2 linked regions of the Drosophila melanogaster genome follow. The protein of the gene in region 1 interacts with the protein of each later gene in a biochemical or structural test. Each region holds a gene or a part of one and is shown in the gene's direction. Other genes may lie near its edges. The genes, in order: Pdp and Mad.

Evidence for each region.
Region 2: of the proteins of Pdp (region 1) and Mad, one has a biochemical effect on the other in vitro, tested with the Drosophila melanogaster proteins (one study listed by BioGRID).

What each region holds. Positions count from the first base shown.
Region 1 is NC_004354.4:7,727,444-7,736,471, reverse strand, and holds Pdp (pyruvate dehydrogenase phosphatase), read left to right. Parts: upstream 1-1,820; 5' UTR 1,821-2,339; coding exon 2,340-2,453; intron 2,454-2,982; coding exon 2,983-3,484; intron 3,485-3,590; coding exon 3,591-4,158; intron 4,159-4,226; coding exon 4,227-4,470; 3' UTR 4,471-4,693; downstream 4,694-9,028. Other genes in the region: Rab39, read right to left, coding at 160-708, 1,137-1,244; CG12155 (uncharacterized protein), read right to left, coding at 5,327-6,810, 7,098-7,281; NELF-B, read left to right, coding at 8,189-8,320, 8,399-9,028.
Region 2 is NT_033779.5:3,144,274-3,156,116, reverse strand, and holds Mad (mothers against dpp), read left to right. Parts: upstream 1-3,363; 5' UTR 3,364-3,684; coding exon 3,685-3,688; intron 3,689-6,837; coding exon 6,838-7,313; intron 7,314-7,379; coding exon 7,380-8,070; intron 8,071-8,291; coding exon 8,292-8,698; 3' UTR 8,699-10,061; downstream 10,062-11,843. Other genes in the region: ND-B14.5B (NADH dehydrogenase (ubiquinone) B14.5 B subunit), read left to right, coding at 10,433-10,589, 10,669-10,812, 10,868-10,917; toc (toucan), read left to right, coding at 11,770-11,778.

The sequences.
Region 1 (9,028 bases):
GTAACTGTTTTGGTTTTTTAGCTAAACTAGACGATTAAACAAGATTAAAGAGTCAACAAATTGGTGTTTAGGGGGGAAAAGGAGTACTGGTGGGTCATACGATACAAATCAATGTACATAAACAGTATTGAAAATAATAGACAATGAGGTCGGGGTGAATCAACAACATGATGACTTTTCCGGCTCTGCTACGACGAGATTAAAGTCCAGACTATTGGGTCGCGAAAAGCCAGACTTGATGCCGTCCCATCCATCCTCCGCCTTATATTCGCCGGATCGAATGCGGGCGTACACCTCCTGGGTGACCATGCGAAATGCCTCCTCCACATTGGCACCAGACCGGGCCGATGTCTCAACGAAATGCAGACCGTGCTGTTTGGCAAATTTTTGTGCCTCCTCTGTGGTCACCTCCCGGTGTCCGCCCGCATTGATGAGGTCCAGTTTGCAGCCGACCAATGCGAAAACGGGGCGGTGGGGCTCAATGTGACGCTGTGCCTCCATCATCCACAGCGGTATGTGCTCGAAGCTGGCGTGATTCGATATGTCGTAGACCAGCAGCACGCCAACCGAGTTCCGGTAGTAGGACTTGGTGATCGAACGGAAGCGCTCTTGGCCAGCAGTGTCCCACAGCTGGAGCTTGATCTGTGTGCCGTCCTTCATTTCGATGAGGCGGGCAAAGAAGTCGACGCCAACTGTGGGATCGGATAACTGCAAAATGTAAATATTGTGTTATTTATGATTAGGTGGATTCTTGGGAGGCAGTAAAAAGAAACGCAGTTTAGAGCTGTAATGCTTTTGAGAACACTTTTGATTCCACACAATTCATGATATCTCTATGTTTTTAAATTTCCCGCGCAGTTATTTGAGTATCCCTGGTCCTATTTTGGACTTGTGTGTTGTTTTTGCTGCCTGCATTATCAGGCGAGCACACAAACATGCACACCAGCACACACACACACTGACAAGGTGACTAAGGCAGCATCTTTTTAAAATCCACTCCCTTTGTCTATTTTTTGTTGTATCTCGCCCAATGCAATCACTTAATTATGTAATGAACGCATTAACTGCATCTCACGAAGATCGCACAGTGGGCCAAGCGTCCAAGTACAGTGGCCAAAATCGTTGGACATACGCACCTCGGCGAATTTGCCGTCTGTGAAGAATTTGAGCAGCGAGCTCTTGCCCACGGTGCTGTCGCCGATTAAAATCAGTCGAAATTGATACTCGAAAATGGGTTCCACCATTCCGAAGCCGAATTCGAGGGATTTGTCTCTTGGAATTGAATCCGCAGCAAAAAATCTGCCTTCCCTTTGTAAAGTTTGATACGCAAATCGTTGATTTGCTTATGCTGCTCGTTTTTCTTCTTATTTCCTGCAGTTGTATTGCAAATCGAAACTTTCTGTTCTTCACACGATTACTGGCTTTGCAATGAGATATTTCCGGCTGTCGCTGGTGGTTGTTAAATTATAAATATTCGAGAATTCAAATTCCTTCGAATTTTGTTTTGTTTTGTGTTTTTTTCTCATATGCGTGCGCGTGTGTGTGATAATGACAACGTTGCCAGACCAGCAAAAGTAATCGATAGTAGCCACAATGAAATTATTTCATTACCATTATTAAACAGTTATATCTTCTAAATTATTTAATAAAAATAGTGTCCTCACATCAATTTGGCAGTTTTCAGATTTTTTAACAAGCTTAGATGTATTTTTCGGCGGTACACAAAAACTAGCTAGACTTGGCTTGAAAACGGTAACCGGCTAATGGCAACACCGCCAGTCTGGCACCGCCGCCCAATAGAGATGGTCAAAGAACGCGATTTCGCGTGACACGATGAATGCATACAAATGTAGTTAGTTTAAATTGTTCTGAGAAAATATGACAAAAAAAATAAAATAATCTTTCATATTAAGCTAATAAATTTACAATAATTACACAAAAAGATTTGGCCTTGTACAGTGCTTTGACACATAAATTAAGACGTGCGTGTTCATTTTCGTTCTAGGCTGTCTCGTGCAGAGAAAAACCCATCGCTAGTACGCACTGTATTTTCTTTTTACGTTTGTTTTCCGTGAACACCGTCCGCTTCGTATTTCACAGCACACAAATGTACAAACAAGCCGCCGGCCAATCAAAAGCAACAGCGGAAAATAAGATCCCTTTGTCAGCAACCGGCAACCGGAGTCGGTGAATCAGCCGGAGGCTCCGGGATACGGAATCCACCACGTTCTCCTCCATCTTCTTTGCCTACTCCTCCCCCGATTTGGTTACGGAACCAATATCATTACCGTTAATTATAGCCACAGCGGGGCGAGAGCATATACAAAATCTCCATATAGATGTTCAAGTTCGTGCTGAACGACGCCGCCAGCTACGTGCGATCCAATGTGCGGGAGTTCAGTTTGAATGCACTGCGTCTGCTGCCGCAACTGCCTCAATTGAGTCCATACGATGTAAGATTTGGGGTTCCTGGCAAGTGTCATTAGCAAGCTGGGCAGGGTTCGTAAAATGTAATCAGTTTGTAAGATCTTCGATCGAAAGTACTTCTTTACTTATTAATTATTTTGGATTTTTCCTATTGAAGCTACTTTTAGAAACCACAAATCTATGCATTACATCCCTAAGCCGTTTAAAAATTTAACTATAAAGCCTGCATAATTTTCTGAAGATCCAATAACTACTTTCAAGGGCTTTCAAGAAAGTCCCGAGTGTTTTCCTATAAACAAAGTGAACGACGTCGACCCGACTGTATTCGATTTTCCATATTCATATTTCAACTACAGCAACCATTTATAATGCCTTTACTGAGCAGTTAATTTCATTTGATCGTTTGCACTGGACAAGAGTCCATACCAAGCGGCTTAAGAACAAAATTTTTAGGAACCGAATAAGAATTAACTGATTAATAACTATTACCATGGGAACCTTTGTAATTCCCACATAAAGAGTAAGAATCTGTATTAATGTAAACTATTTTCACAGGTTAACCTTGTTCTGAGGGAGAACGAGTTCGTTTACAACTTTCCCGTGGATGGAGTCATCCGCAGCTATGAAACAAATCAGCTGGGATCAAACTGGCCCTGCGAGGATTCCCGCACGGAGGCCAGCTTCCTGCACCGCAACGGCTTCATTTGTGGCATTTTCGACGGGCATGCGGGAGCAGCATGTGGCCAAGTGGTGTCCAAGCGACTGCTTCGCTATGTTTCGGCGGCCACGCTGCCGCGCCAGGTGCTCCGGGAGCAGATGAAGCAGGGTGCCGACAGCCAGTCGTTCCTCAAGTGCCACAATGACAACGTGGACTTTGTTAGCATGATCAAGCCCATGTACGAGGCTAGTTTCCTCAAGTATGTCAATCAATTGTTAGAGACACCGCAACGGGATGTATCCAGTGAACTGGTGAACGCCTTCCTCCAGCTGGATGAAGAGATCTCGCAGGAGGCTCTGACCAGCAACGATGTACGCACCATGAACGTGGCCCTTTCTGGTGGGTGATGTATCCATTTATTTATGTATATAAGTTGCCATCCCGTTTCATACTTTCCTCTTCATAGGGGCTTCATTTCTAAACTATAAATGTGTTTATTTTCCAGGAGCCGTTGCCTGTTTGGTTCACATTGAGGGACTGCAGATGCACGTGGCCAGCACGGGTGATTGTGGCGCAGTGTTGGGCGTTCTTGATCCCCAGACGCAGCAGTGGCACTCAAAGAAGCTTAACATCGAACACAATGCTGACAATATGTCCGAGGTGCGTCGCATTCTGGCCGAGCATCCCAAGGAGGAGCATGAGACGGTGATCCGAAACGGCAGGCTGCTTAGCCAGCTGGCGCCGTTGCGTGCCTTTGGGGACTTTCGCTACAAGTGGTCCCAGGAAATAATGCAGCAGAAGGTGCTGCCGATGTTCGGCGTGCAGGCAATGGCGCCGAATTACTATACGCCACCGTACCTAACCGCCCGCCCCGATGTCCAGCAGCACGAATTGGGGCCCAACGACAAGTTTCTAGTCATCGCCAGCGACGGCCTATGGGATTTCCTTCCGCCCAGCGAGGTGGTCAGCTTGGTGGGGGAGCACATCAACTCCAAAAAGATCCTCGAACCGATGCGCCTGCCGGAAGGCGATACAACGCTGCAGGAAATCTCTCAGCAGCTGGCCGAAAGAAAGTCAGTTATCCTTTAAATGTATGCTTGTTATTTATTTATTTATTAATTACGCTTTTATTGCATTGCAGGGCTGGCCTCACTCGCAAACCCGTAGACCAAAACGCGGCCACGCATCTCATCCGGCATGCTTTGGGCGGCACCGACTATGGGATTGAGCACTCGAAGATCTCGTACTATTTGACGCTGCCCAGGGACGCGGTGCGTCTGTATCGCGACGACATCACAATCACTGTCATCTACTTTAACTCGGAGCACATTGCCAAGCTGCACAGCGATGTGGATCAAACGGAGGTCACTGCGCCGGTAGCATGATCTCTGCGAGAGTGCATATGTGTATATTTAACGAGCCTAACCTTCAGCCGAACTAGCCTAAGTGTTGCGTTTAAGTTTGTTTCATCCGCCATCGGACCTCGGACGACTGCTGCGCCAAATAAATCGCACGCGGAAAGCGAAAAATCACATATGCAAATTGTCTTGTTATTCATAAAGAGCGATGATCGGTCGTCTCATTTGTTAATAAAATAAAAATGACATGAAAATCCCAGCAAATATGTATATATCAAGGGTTATAAGCAATCAAGAAGGTTTCTTCATATATTTATTTCTCAAATAGTTCGTGATTTTGTAAAGTAGATACTATTTTTTCTTTTAAAGCAAGTACTTATATTAATTTTTGCTGTTTAAAATTTACAAGCAATTCGTAATGTATATAATCTAATTCAATTTAAAACTTCTTATTCTATAATTTACGCCAATTTTCTTGTTTTCAATTTAGTTCGGTCTATAAAACGGGGGGGAAACCAGGATAATCCTAAGACTTAGGTATAGATCATCTGTTGCAAACAAGCTATTCAACTTTAAGAATTTCGAATTGTGTAGTTTTCGAGAATCGATTTATTTTCTTTTATTTCCAATTACAATTGATTGTAACGCTGGCTAATATATATGTATATATATTTTTACTCGAATGGATGGTGTAGAGGGGTGAAGGATACAGGGATCCGGGGTTTCGTGGGTGGAGGATAAAGCTAATTGAAGAACGCGGAATCCACGAACTTGCAAACTGGTAAACGGTACGCATCCTAATCCTATACATGGAAAAAACTAGGCAACTACTCAGGGATCGTATTGGTTGTTTTTTGGGGAACATAACTAAAAACAGGTGTCCCTAATCCTTGCCATCCTGTTCGGCCGCTTCCTGCCGGCTGACACAGTTGAGGAACTCCATCTGAATGTGCGTAATCTGTGTCTTGCTGAAGCACTGCATCTTCTTCTTGAGAAAGTCAAAGAACAGATCGAGCTCATCACGCTTGGCCAGTGCCTGGGCCACTTGTTGCTGCTGATGCTGCTCATCCTCCTTGATGAGATTGTTAGAACTGCTGGCCGCCGCACTAACGGCCAATGGCTGGCCAGATCCGCAGTTCAAGGGGGGCATCTGAATGATCGTGGCCGTCGGCGTGGATGTGAAGGATGTGGTATTGCACAGCGCCGCTGCTGGCGTGGTAGTCACGGTAGTCGCATTCAGAGAAATGGCCGGCGTGCTTGAAATCGTCACACTGGTACTGGTCGCCTCTGTTACATCCACCAGGGAAATTTGCTGCGTTGACACTGAGGAATCATGACGATTGGTTGATCCACCGCCCCCAGCCGCAGGAGACGTGGTTGTTACCAGCGTGAGATTCTTTACCTTGCCATCGGTTACCACAGTCCCACCGGTTAGGACACTATTTGAGCCATTGCCCGATCCACCGCTGGCCGAGAACTGATGCTGGCTGGAGCGAACTGTCTGTGGCTCAATGTCCGATATGCAAAATTCGTGTGTATCGATGTAATGGAAACCCTTGCCGTGGGTAACATCGCTACCGCCGTCCACGGCGTCACCCACACCAATTTCGCAATCCACATGGGCACCGCTGGCCTCCTCGTACAGGCACACCTCTTCGTAGTCCACCTCGGCGCCGGTTGCCCCGTCCTCGTCCAGTTCGTGCTTCACAATATCCAGCTGACCGTCGTGGTCGACCACATCATCTTCGTCATCGACATCATCGACCACATCGTCATCGTGGGCAATCTGGGAGAGCTCAATGCTGGAGATGCTGCCGTCGTGCTGCGACTGATGATGATGGTGGTGGTGGTGGTGGTGCGGCTGGTGATGATGCTCCTGCTGGTGATGGCCATGATGATGGTGATGGTGGTGCTGCGATACAGTGTCATCCGAGACGCCCTCCTCGTAGGCGGTCAGGATGAAGGTTTCCGCCTCATCGCTGACCAGGGTGATCTGCGAGGTGCCGTGATGTGAGGAGAGCGTGGCGGTATCGTGATCCGATTGCCCGTCATCGTCCATCACCTCGTCGTCGTCATCGTCCACATGCTGTTTCAAATGCAGCATAGCTCCAATGGGCAATGTGGTACTATTCGCGCCTCCAATGCCTCCACCGGCGCCGGCAACCCCACTCGTCTCATAGGTGATCTGTGTGTTCCGGTGCGATTTCAGTTTCGGCTGGTACACCTTCGACAGGAAGTCCAGCTCCTTGGCGTAGCGCCACTTGGATAGCCGCCCTTCGATGTACTTGGGCGTGCGCAGACGGTACTGGTGGAAAGTGTCCCGCAGGTTCTTCCACTTACGACGCACCTCCTGCACCGTGTACTTGTCTGGAAGAAAGAAAGAGGTAGTATAAATATGAGCGGGGTTTCAAAGGAATCGTATTCCTTTTACAGATAATTGATACAAGCTAGAACCTCTTCAAAGGCATCACATTTATGAAAACGTTTCTAAGTAACGATGAAATTATGAGTTGTGTTATAGTAGCCGGCGCCAGAACACTAGCCTATCAATACAATATGCATGTGGTATTTAAAACCAACTTTAGCGGAAGCTTATATTAATTCTGGAAGAAGGCTAATAGTCGGACATGAAGCAGGCCATGACTAGCACTCACTTCCTATCTGCTGGGCCACCTCCTGCCATCCGTTGAGGACATCGGAGCGGCGTCGCTGGTTCGGCTGCAGTTTGTAGTTGTAGAGAACCGGATTCTGGCGCACCAGGTTGATCAGCGTAAGGATGTCGTCCGTGGGCGCGTTGTCCTTGTGGTAGCGCTTGCGCTCTTGCGTCGACGAGGACATGTTGCTTCAGCTTCTGTGGGTTTCCACTGTTGTGCTCTCCCAAATCCTGATGATCCTTATCCCGATACCAATGCTGCTCCTCACATTCAGGTGTTTTGTTTTTGTTTACCCACGAAAAGAGAGGCTTTCGTTCTCGTCGAAATGCACGCACAAACACATACACAAGCGCACTTGAACGGAGCCAAACACCAGCTTATGTAGGTGTAGGAACACGCACGCACACACTCTCGCACACTCGATGCAAAGGATAGCGACTGTGTGCAGCAGGATCTCCTTTGTAGTCGCTACGGGGCACGAATCTCGGCAAGAATCGAGACGCCTTGTCCTTGGCGTTCAGCTCCAATTGTGCGAATTTGACTGCACTTGATGCTCTTGCTTTGCTTTTGGCTGTTTTTGCTGTTGCTTATTTCGCGCTAGGGATGACACATCGCGGAATTGGCGTTCTCTTTCGCCGTCACTGAAAAGCAAAAGTCCGTTTCCCTGTATTTATAATCCTCAATTAAAAGTTACGTTCTTATACAATTAAGTCGTATGGGAATGATGTTCTAAGGCAAACTAATTAAAGGTTTTTATTTTTTGAGTTCAGTTTTTTTACCAACACTATTAGAAATTAGACTTATATTGTATTTGTGGCCCATATAATTTTTTTTTATTATCTTTATTAATTTTTGTAACATTTACCATTCTACCAATAATAATAATACAACTATTTGTTGGCAAAATAATATTAATAACTACATGTTAAACATACAAAGTTGGCTATTACAAGCCGTGCTGATACGTGCACTATCGATAACACCGCACATGTGCAAGCCTGCGCTTATTTTTTTGTCTCCTCGCTAGCAATAAAAAACAACACAATTGTGTAGCTTCGTGTCTTGTTTTGCTCAATTTGCCGACGAATTGCATGATAATGAGCACACCGGCGAAAAATAACAATGGAACTGGACTGGAGGACGTGAATATTCCGGGTCAGGCCTATCTGCGCGAGGCCCTGACCTCCTGCACTGATCCCTTGAAGGCCATCGAGAGTTTTCAGGTTTGTTTACGTTGCACCGAAAAATGGGCGCCAAAAGTTCGGTGGGCTTATTTATCCAAATATCACCTGCCTTTTTAGCTTGAGAATGGTGTATTGCTGCCTTCACTGCGCCCCATGTTGCCTTTACTCGATTTGCACGGCGTGCGTCGACTGGACTTTCATACCTCGCTGATGGAGGAGCTGCGCGACAAGCTGATAGCTCACATCAACGAGATGGGCCAAAAGGAGCCCCGGGAGCGGGACAAGAAGCTCAAGGAGCTGCTCGTTAAGAGCTTCCCCGTCGTTCGGGTGAAGTCGCTGCGGCCCGTGGTCATGGCCATATTGAGGAATACCCAGCACATCGATGACAAGTACCTCAAAATCCTTGTAAGGGATCGGGAACTGTATGCGGACACGGATACGGAAGTTAAGCGGCAGATATGGCGTGATAATCAATCGTTGTTTGGTGACGAGGTGTCGCCTCTCCTCTCACAATATATTCGCGAGAAGGAGCACATCCTGTTTGATCACACCAACTTGAACAATCTGTTCTTCCACCCAACGCCCAAGGTGCGAAGGCAGGGGGAAGTAGTCCAAAAGTTGGCCAACATGATTGGCACCAGTGTCAAGCTGTACGATATGGTGCTGCAGTTCCTGCGCACTCTATTCCTGCGCACCCGCAATGTTCACTATTGCACGCTGCGTGCAGAGCTACTGATGGCCTTACAC
Region 2 (11,843 bases), on another chromosome or scaffold:
ATGCAACAGACGGTGGAGCCAACACCCACGCAAAGTGAGCTCGTCTTGAATGAAATTAGCCCGTAACTAGAGTTTACAGTTTGGCAGCTACTGGCGATCGCTGTTGGCCAGCTTGCATACCAAATGACCGTCGTCTTAGCCACACACCGTGAACTGGCTAAAACTGATTCGATATTCCGGCGCAGTGCTCGATCGGCGCTTCATTGCCCATATAATGCTAATAATTATTGCATTTAAAATCTAATAAATTTGTGCATTGACAACGCGGAGTTGACTGGCTGGCGATGGGCAGAACCACCATTCCCAGCCGCTCCTATTTTAATGGTGTAGATATCCATCAAAGGCTGGCTAAGTGGCAGCAAAGTTGTCTTGCAACTAGTTGGATACTCTAACTTAGGGATTTCACTTCAATTTAAATGTATATGAAGTGAAGAGTTTAGAGATCAGTATTAAGTATCAACTTGCTGATCATCCATTTGTTGTTCACCTTCCTGCTGCTGAATCCCCACCAGCTTCGGATTTCTTGGCGCTCGTCTCTAGTGGATCGCCGTCCAGCTTTGACCATAATTGTGGTGCTTGTCATTGTTTGTGTCGCATTGGCAACATTGAAGTACAGACTGCCCCGTGCGTGTTAAATACATGTAATTAGCCATGTTTGTGCCATTTAATCCACTCGATAGTGGACTACTCCGCCCCAAACTGCCTGTTTTTTTTTTTTTGCTCAGAAGCCGCTTGGTCGCGCGGCGACGCTTTTCTAAGAATTCTTTTACGTTTTGTTTTGGCGCACGCATTAGGCGCCACACTGAAGCAGCACGTTTAACCCGCAGGACAGGCGGAAGGGTTAAGACTTGGCGTTGGTTTGGCGGGTAGGAAGGTAGGAGGAGAAGATGGACAGAGGGCCGAGGGGCGGGTGGAGCCATCTCGGAAACTGTGGCGCATACTCCACATATTTATGGCTATTTAAGCGAACCGAACGAATCGTGGATGCCGATGACGATGACGAACTTGCTGCTGCTGCAGTTGCTCTGCTGCACGTTGCACTTTAGGACCTTTTCCCCACCACAGACGAGTTCAGCAGAATAGTGACGAGAGGTTTGCAATAAAAGTTGCTAGTGCATTTCACATATGTGCAATTAGTTTCTGTCGCAATTTCATTTATGTTGAGGCCCGCAGTATAAAATGAGCAAGTTAGTTTGTTTTACACCAATATTTCGACTAAATAATACCCATCATTTTGGACGCAAGTGTTGCTCCTGATTCCTGCCACTGCTGCTGTGGTCCGGCAGTCATTGGCATTGATTGGCAGTTGAACACGCAACAATTGTTGCATGTTTAGGCGTCGGCAGTGACGGTGAGACGACAACAACTGCACAACAGCACAACGATGCAACAATGCAACAGAGGAGCAGTGCAACAAACACTGGGGCATAGGAACAAACATCACAGCAAAGCTGAAGACTTCAGCTACTGGCAGTTGACTTTTGTCACATGTTTAGCGAGCTTTAATTGGCATCGAAATTTGTCGACTTCTATTAGAAGAACTGCCATTCTATTTGATGTTAGGATGGAGCAGAAGACTAGAGGTGTCATCATTTTTTTGAAATTGAAGAGAAATGCTGTTTATTATTCACAGTAGTATATCCTTCTTCCAACTATGTTTGGCGCGCTTCGTTACTACTCAACTTGCATACTACTCATAAATGTGCATCAATGTTCATAAACATTGAAATTATTTCAAATCAAGATGGAACTGAAAGCTATTTATTTGAAAGTAGTGTAGACCACCCACCACCGACTGGCAATTTTTTTCATTTTTGCGGAAAAGCGGTGGTGTCCCCGTGTTGACAGCTCAATTACTCACATGACACAAAGCCTCTGCGTGGCCCCCTGCAATTATCGCGGCAATTATTTGCAATTAGAATTGAGTTAATTTACTTAAAAAAGGATTTTCTGCCGTGCCTGCGCATTTTTGCCCCTTGACGTTTGCACTTCGGCACGTGTGTGTTTTGAGTTTTCCGCTTTTGTGCAATTTGCGTGCATAAATTTTTATTGTTCCAAAGGGACTACATAATTATTTTGTTATTTTTCGTCGTTTTCACTTCTGCTTTCGAGGAGAGTGCGCTTCATTACTATTTCGATTTTACTGCGACTGTATAATGCTACCCATGTTTGCAATAAGTTCGCGTTTAGTAGTGTTAAACACGCAATAAAAGCGAAGGGAGGGAGGAGCGATCGCACATAAACATGCTCGCATTCTAAGCACACGTACAGTCCGGGCCAAGAAAATAGGTTCGCTTGACTTCAATTCAAAAGATTTCGTAACGAAAAAACTTTAGTTTCGTTGCTTTACCCATTAAAAAAAATTGGCAGTGCATTTGCGAATAGAATTTCGATTTGTTTCCGCTTATTTTCGTACCGAAAACACTCTGCCGAAGGAGGGCTTCATCGAATTTTAGGTTCAATTACTCGCCGGTCCCACGCACGAAAAAATTCGTTGACGCTGCCTTCTCTTAAACTCCTCCCCTGAAACTACGTTCCCTTCATTTTTGTTGTGGTTGCGGTGGGGTGTTTACAGTTTGATTGTGGCTGTGGGTTGACGCCACCTCCAACACCACCAAAGGCCATGCACTGCAAACAAATTAGTGTGCATCTAAAAACAGCAATGTCTATTTAATTCGAAAAAGAGTTAAGTAAAAGAGTACTCAAATGTTAAATCTTAGTTCTTCAAGTAACATTGTTATTTGAAATACAAATGTTGCATATTTTTCTCGCCGTGTGATCTGCTGCACACAAACACGTTCGCGCTCACGTGCTGGCGCCCCCAACTGCAGATAGGGCATTTGATTTGTTTAAAACAAAACTTTCGTTGCCTGTATGGGTGTAGTGGTGTGCACTTGGCTGCCCCAAACGCACACTGAAACCAATTACGAGCACAGGAATACGAATACGAATACGTCACTCAGAGGTCTTCAGAAATCAGGGCTGCGGACTAGCTGGTGATAAAGAAGGGATTCAATAGGGATACATACACTAGATTTATACTCTCTTAGGGCTACAATAAGTACATTACTAAATAGATAAATATTAAGAAAATGGAATATAATAACTCAATTTTCCAGTCTTAAACTTATTAATAACTGTAGAAAGTAGTTTGTGTTACCTTTAGATACTTTAGGATGGACCTGCTGCTTCGCATCCCTGGCGAACTCACACCGATACACAATACGAATGCAGTTTGGGCTGCGTTCAGTTCGTCACTCACTCAGTCAGTCAGTTCGTCAGTCAGTCAGTCAGTCAGTCAGTCAATCAACACTCGGCGCACTCAGTTTGCTGGGCAACCCGTTCGGCATTCGTTGTCGATCGGTCGTGTCGTGCAGTTGACTTCTGATTCGCGCTCGCTGCCATTTCCACTTTGCGTAATTTACGGCGAAAATAAAAAATAATACGGCAAAAGGCTTAAATAAATGAAGTTATTACGGTGATAACGATTGAATTGAAGACTCGCAGCGGAAATGTAACTGCTGAGGCGACTGGATTGGATGCCCGATCGTCGTGGAGGGTCGCGTTTGCGATTTGCATACGAATAAAATAACATTTTGATGCTGAATTCTTGTCCGTGTGTGTGTGTGTGTTTGTGCGTGCAATAAAAATAAATAAAATAATATCTGCAATCTCAACATCATCATGTGTAGGTTCTTAGTTCGTACATAGTTCTCGTTTGCCTCGAGTTGCTCGATTTTTGAGTTTTCCTCCTCGCATCAAATCGAAACTTTGGCCTGTTTGGTTTTGGTCTTTATCGCGCTGCGTTTTTGTGTGTGCATTGTTTGTTTATTTTTAAACATGGGTCCAAGTCCCTATTTTCTCTGTCTGTTCGTTTTTTTCTTGTTGTTTTGTTGTTATTTTTGTGGCACTAGTCGTAGTACCCTTTACCACGCTTTTTGCCCGCTTTCAATGGCAGCGGAAGTGCTTCTGTACTTCTGTACTTGTGTACTTGCCATCCATCCACCTTGATTTCTACTTCTACCTGGCTCCCATGATTTACGCCTTATTGTCACTGCCGCATTTATGATTGATTATCGATTGGAATGGTATGATACGCATGCGCGAATGCGTGCCTGCCATAAAAGTGCCTCGATATCCTCGCTCCTCCGTTTCTCCAGTTGAGTTATGATCCCTGACTAGCGATGCACTGAAAAGAAACTCACAATGGAATCACTAACCAGAAGAATGTACACAGCCGATTTGAAATGCAATTCTTCAATTTAGTTACTCTAAATATAAGACTAAAAGTAGATTCACTTTAAACCAAGAACCATCAATTGAATTTGCTTTGAAAGCAATGAAGAACTTTCCTTCGAGTGTGGTTTTCTTGAAAGCAGAAAGAAGACTGGGCCACTTTGGGCGGGTACGTTGGGTACGTGATCTCAGCTCGGGTAATATGTAATTGCGAATTACGATTATTGATCTTTAATTGATATGGGGAATGTCCCATATGATAATGGATCATAAAGGACTTATTATATTTATATTTAGTATCGTTCAACTCGAGATGCATTGAGAGACAAAACAAGAAAATCGTTTAAGTGCCTAAAGAAAGCCACTTTGTTGTTTGGAAAACCATCAAATCTCCGAATAAACATCATAAATATGTTGAATATGTTGTTATGATCGTGTAAATAAAGTTTTTATGTAATTCCTGCGAATTAATGGGGTAGTTTCCCCTTTTGAAAACCGACTGATTATGTCGAAAACCTCACCTGCAATCGAGCTTTGCACAAACAAAACGGGGGCATTATCGAAATTTGTATGCCTGCCCCACTCAAATCAATCGAATTCCACTAGAGCACCATTGCCACCTAAAAACACACGACACTAGTCAGCTGGGTAAATACGTAGGGTAGAGTTCTCTATCTCCACTAACCCCCTCGATAAGTCTGTCCGCCAAGTGTCACTCCGTTTGTATCCTGAGTTACTGAGAAGGAGAGACCATGTGAACTGGTACTCCACTGTATGTTTAATTTTGGGATTAGTTATAAGCAAAGGTGTACCATTTTCGATAAGGTACCGATTGTTTGTTCGTAATCCTAATCTTTTGGAAGAGGTTTTTAAGCTAGTTTTGGTAATCAAAATGGTTGTGTGACTTATCATTAATTTCAATATATTCTTGTAGGCTAGTGATAAAGTTAGAGCATTCTTAGAGCAATATATCTACCGCCGGAGGCTCTGGTTGACTTTGGGCAATTAGAAAAGTGACTGCCCCCAACCACTGGTCCTCGTTGACCACGCCCCCTTCCATGGGCGACAACATAAAATTGTCAATGCTGCGAAAAAAAAAAGAAAACGGCAACGCCCCAAAATTTTTAGGCCCGAGTTGAGCGAGAAAATCGAAATTAATTCACGCAACGGCTAATTTGGCCAGAAATATGCGCCATTTGGTCTGTCGGGAGCCCAATCGAGAGGTGTTTTCTTGTTGTCCAAGTGCTGCACTTGTTGATTTATCGCCGGCATTTAATTGCTTTTGAAATTGGATTTACCAGCCCGTTTGCTTGCCACAAAAATGGGTGGTTCGCCTAGCAAGTTCGCCTTGTGTGGCTCGCCGATTTTTGCTCCAGCTTGCACAAATTAATTGCTACTACAAATTTTCATTCAATTAGGTTTTGTCACTTTTAAATTTAATCAAACATTTTTTGACACCTTGAGTAAAGCAACGAGATTGAGGCTAAGACAGCCAACTGGAGCGCAGCCACTTGGCCAACGGAGAGAAGTTCCTCAGAAATGCTGTTAACATTGAAATGTCATAATTCAAATGGAATTGTTGTCTTTGGTGGGGAAAAGTATGGAGGGGGGGGGGCGTAGAAAACAGGGGGGAATACCCACAATTGTGGCGCTGACAAGTCGAACACCATTTGGTTATCATTTGCGCTCATTATGAGATGCAGTTCTCGCCACTCGACTCGAATATTACTGCAGTACAGTGGAGCCTAACTAAATAGAATGAAGACAGTGGGTTTTTATTGCTATAGTTTAGTTTTTTCTGTTGATAAACCAATTTCTTAATGCCAATTTTCTAAGAATCGATAAGGCAGCCCGAAAACCAGCACATGAAACTATTATCTGTGCTTCATAAATTTACCTATTATTCATATATTTTTGCAGAATTGTTGTGTTCGAAAACTAATACTATTTATAACGTTGAAAAGTGCGAACTCTTTTCGTTCGCAACCTTTGTGGTTTTTTGGAATTCAAAGAACTGTCAGACCTCAAAAATACCCCCCTTACAATAGAATCGTTTCACAATTGACGTCAGCTGCGATTGAATACGAACAATAACCATATTTAATAGATAAAAATAAGTTTCCAACGAAATCGAGATTCGATTAATCAGCTAGTTGGTTAAGTGAAGCAATAATGGCCATTATTCTCAATGAGAAAATGTTGCAGGCAATTTGCATGCAATTGGCCGCCAACATTGAAAGTGGGAGGAGTCCGTTCATGACAGGAACCTCCCAACGACTTCATTCACTAGCCAGAAACACGATGCACTGCCAGGCCCCATGGATACTCACTCCTCCTCCAATTTCTGCTGGGCACTTGGCCAAGCGGGTAAAGACACTCGAAGAAAAAGGGTCACATAAGTTGCTGACTTCCCCTTTTGTTACGTATAAACATTTGCTTGAATTAGATGCAAAGTTTTCTATAACATTTCTCTCAGTGCATTCGAATTTTGCATGCGTTGTGTTGTGGGCGTTGCTGAGACAATCTAAGCTCGATGATGAATGCCTGCAATTCTATTTGTATTTATTATTTATATTTGCTTTTTACTTGCTCTTTTCACAGACTATCCGCCCGCTGATAGTTATACCGGTTATCGGGTGACTCCACCCCAAATCAACGGCGGCACCACCACCACCACCACCATCAGCAGCGGCAGCAGCAACAACAACAACATCCACCACATCAACAATAACAATAACCACATCTGCAGCAGTGGCAGCAGCAACAACCTCAATTTGACGACAGCAATCAGCGGCAGCAGCAACAGAATGGACACCGACGATGTGGAATCGAACACAAGCAGCGCGATGTCCACACTGGGCTCGCTATTCTCCTTCACATCGCCGGCGGTGAAGAAGCTGCTGGGCTGGAAACAGGGTGACGAAGAGGAGAAGTGGGCGGAGAAGGCCGTCGACAGTCTGGTGAAGAAGTTGAAGAAGCGCAAGGGCGCCATCGAGGAGCTGGAGCGTGCGCTCTCCTGTCCCGGTCAGCCCTCGAAGTGTGTCACCATTCCACGCTCGCTGGACGGACGATTACAGGTGGGTCACAAGCCACATGGCCAGCTAAGTAACAGATGATTATTAACTCCTATTTCCGAATATCAGGTCTCCCATCGCAAGGGTCTGCCGCATGTGATCTACTGCCGCGTGTGGCGCTGGCCAGATCTGCAGTCGCACCACGAACTGAAGCCACTCGAGCTGTGCCAGTATCCGTTCAGCGCCAAGCAGAAGGAGGTGTGCATCAATCCGTATCACTATAAGCGCGTGGAGAGTCCGGTGCTCCCGCCAGTACTCGTTCCTCGCCACTCGGAATTCGCGCCCGGTCACTCGATGCTGCAGTTCAACCATGTGGCCGAGCCCAGTATGCCGCACAATGTGAGCTACTCGAACAGTGGATTCAACTCGCACAGCTTGAGCACCAGCAACACATCGGTGGGCAGTCCGAGTTCCGTCAACTCCAATCCCAATTCGCCGTACGACAGCTTGGCGGGAACACCGCCACCCGCCTACAGTCCCTCGGAGGATGGCAACTCCAACAATCCGAACGACGGTGGCCAGCTGCTGGATGCTCAGATGGGCGATGTTGCCCAGGTTAGCTATTCGGAGCCCGCCTTCTGGGCGTCGATAGCCTACTACGAGCTAAATTGCCGCGTGGGCGAGGTGTTCCACTGCAACAACAACTCCGTGATCGTTGACGGTTTCACGAATCCTTCCAACAACTCGGACCGCTGCTGTCTCGGCCAGCTGAGCAACGTGAACAGGAATAGCACCATCGAGAACACACGCCGTCATATAGGTGAGTCGATTTTAGCACTTAAATTAACTTACTCACAGAGATTTCCCATCAGCAACTATCTTAAAGTGGTTAATAACTAAGATTACACATTGGTAATCTTAAATTAGAAAGCGACTTGTGTTTATCAGTTATAAAAATAGGCATTGAGTAGAGTAGAAAGCTATGGACTTCAAGAATCCAACTACCTGTCTTTTTAACTCAAAATGTTTCTTCTTCCCCAGGCAAGGGTGTTCATTTATACTATGTGACCGGCGAGGTCTACGCCGAATGCCTATCCGACTCCGCCATTTTCGTGCAGTCGCGCAACTGCAACTACCACCACGGATTCCATCCGAGCACCGTGTGCAAAATACCGCCGGGCTGCTCGCTGAAGATCTTCAACAATCAGGAATTTGCTCAGCTGCTGTCGCAGTCGGTGAACAATGGATTCGAGGCCGTCTACGAGCTGACAAAGATGTGCACGATCCGGATGTCGTTCGTGAAGGGCTGGGGTGCGGAGTATCATCGCCAGGATGTGACCTCGACGCCCTGTTGGATTGAAATCCATCTGCACGGGCCGCTCCAGTGGCTGGACAAGGTGCTCACCCAAATGGGCTCTCCGCATAATGCAATTAGTTCGGTATCCTAAGCTTAAGATGAGGCTCGAGTCCTCAATGGAGACGGAAGAGAAGGAACACAAAACCGGTAGCTAAATGATGAGTGCGTGTGAGTGAAAGCTAAGTGTGAAAAGACGTAGAGAACACAGGACAATGGAGAGAGCATAGGTCTGTAGGCCTGAGGATGGAGGTCCATGCCACTCAGTCGCAGATTTATATAGATGATGTACGGCAGCTACTCCAATACCCGCCCTTTGCCCATATTTTATAGTTTATCGTATGATTTTCTATGCGAATGTCATTCCTAACGCTAAAACAGAGTAATGAAAATGGACAGCGAGCTAAGAAACCAATTACAAAATGGTATAACTATTTACAATGATCTACATGCTATAATATTAATGATCTATGCCCATTGGCAAAACAGTTCTTGTTCAAGTCTATTTCAAGTGCTAATTATGTGTCATTGCAAAACTGCTTTAAATATAAAAACACATTGAATTAATCCTACCAACTTTAATTACATAAGGAACAAGTAACTTACGTAGGGATATGAAAACACTTATTGCAATACATTTCTTAAAATGATTTTGAAGAAGCCCTAGCTTATGTTTTATTTTTCTCATTTGCGGTTCGCCTTGGATCAACGAATTCAATGTTCAATATAGTTGATTTAAATATATATATGGTTTAACTAATTTTAAGTTGCAAACAAATCGAAAACATCAAACAAGAAAAGATACCAGCGAAATTTAAGAATGGAAAAATGCTACTGAATCAATACGTTTTCCCAGACAATGATCTTTTGTTATCTTAAGTAAAACTAATATTGTTTAGACCACGAGAAAATTGCCTTTTTATATAAATATACATGTATAACTTTACTCTAGTTATCGTAAGCTTATGATTTTCTCTGATTTTGTTTTGAATTACACTTTTGTGCGCAGAAAAATAAGTAGACGATAATAAAAAAAAAAACAAACGAAATGCTTACTTCTTAAATAAAACCTGTTTTTGACTTATGAGTTCTTTTTTTTTACTTTTTACGCTCGGATTTAAATAAGATATAAAAAGATATAATGTAAAAATAGCTGTATATTAGAGGCTTGGGCAAAACTTGGGCCTTACTAAAAAAAATTAATAATAATATTGTAATATTTGTGCCTGTTCGATATTCCACGTCGGCCTTTGATGTTGTGCGAATTGTGTGGAGCAAAGAAAAATTTAATAATGTCTTAATATCCAAGCAGCGATACTGATTACCAAACGAACAAGAAACAGAAATAGTTGCCTTGAAGTTTACTAGTTTTTGAATGCTATAAATTGCCTTAAATACGCCTTGCATGCCTCTTAATGTTAAACGTACTAATGTAATATTAAAAAATGAATTCAAATAAAAGGAAAAACATAAAACCCTGGCTTGAACTTGAGATATTTCATCATGTGGACAACATTTTTCATCAACGTTTTGAATTCGTTTATTTTTGGTTTGTTATTTCGGTTAGTTAGTTAGTGGCTAGTTGAATATTTATTCTGATTTTAGTGCGCGAGTGAATAATTTGTAGTTTCCAATATAAAAGGAACCAAATAAAGTTGGCAATGTGCAATACGTGTTTGTTTATATTATTTAAATTATATACAACTTACGTTTTAAATAATCGTTACGGAACTAGTTCAGTTCGCACGCTATCGATAGCTGAGAGTTCTGCCAGTGACATCGCTAACTGCGTTAGTTGCCCACCGCTATTGTTTTTCATCCTATCAACATGAGTGCCGTGAACGATCCGCTGGAACTTTTGACGAACAAGGGCACCCACGAGCCTTCTTTCCTCTCGCCGATATGGAATCCGATTGCCTGCGGTGTGGCCGGCGTGGGCGCGGCCATTTTCATCAACTGGGGCTTCCGTAAGCCCGTGTTTTCCGGTGAGTTTTCGCCCCGCTTCCATGTGACGTAACGATTGTTTTTGTCGCCTATAACTAACTAAATCGCAACGTATTCCAGGCATCCAGAAGCACATCGCCTTCGGAGCTATCGGCGTCGGCGCAGGAGCTTATTTCGATCAGAAGAGGAACGAGTACCTGGCCAAAAGGGACGCCGTCCTCCGGCACTACATCGAACTGCATCCCGACGATTTCCCGGTGAAGGGTAAGTGCGGCATGGATGCAAGCTAACCATTACTTACCGTTTTTGCCCCTTCCAGAACGCAAGACCTATGGCCAAGTGCTGGAGAGTTGGGTGCCAGTGCGCTAAGTGGATCTAAATCTTTGTTGTCAAACGAACGATGGAAGTAGTTAATAAAACAGCTTTAATTGTAAAACATATGAACACGAAAATGGAGCAAATGGATTGGGCATTCTATGGTTTTTTATTCGAAAGGAATTGCATGCATATTATGGACTTACAGCATATTGGCATAATGTTATGGTTTAAATTGATGGAATGTACCTAGGGCTTACATTTTTCGCAACTATTTAGTTTTGAAATAAATTTGTTAAGCTATGTTTTGGTTTGAGTCTCAGCTAGCGATTAGCGCACTTCTGTACCTGAAATTGGTGCGCGATACCCGGGAGTTATCGATTGCTCCAACGGTCCAAGTGCCATCTCCAGAAAGAGGCTTTGGCGAGCAAACGCTCTTTTGTCGCGGTGAAAAACGGATCGAACTTTTGGTAGGATGTGTCTGCGCAAAAAGTTTGTCCGCGAATAAATTACCATTTTTGAATAGCAGCCAGGAAGCTGAAAGAACGCGCTAAAAAATCAATAAAAAAATTCGAAATCCAACCAGCCAGAGATTGGATTTAAATATATATACACAAAAAATCTCTATGAAATAAACAACGTAATTTTAAGCCCAGTTTGTGTGCGTGTGTGCGTCTTCGTTTTACCGTTACAATTTACGAAAACCGAAATAAAGTGTAATCAGTGAAAAATAAATGCCAACACTAATAGTCAAACACAGCGAAACGAATTATTGTTAATTAATTGGCATTATAAGATTGTTTTTTTTTTCGACCCAGTAAAAGGTTAAGCAACTGAAAGTTTGGCGAAAGTTCACCGTCGGCTCAGTTCACCTGCAAATTTTCTTATCATCAGCAAACAACGATTATGGCGAAGGTAAGAAAAAGCCGAGCTCTTAATTTTATTACCAACTTATTTATTTATGAACAGATGCTGGTCTT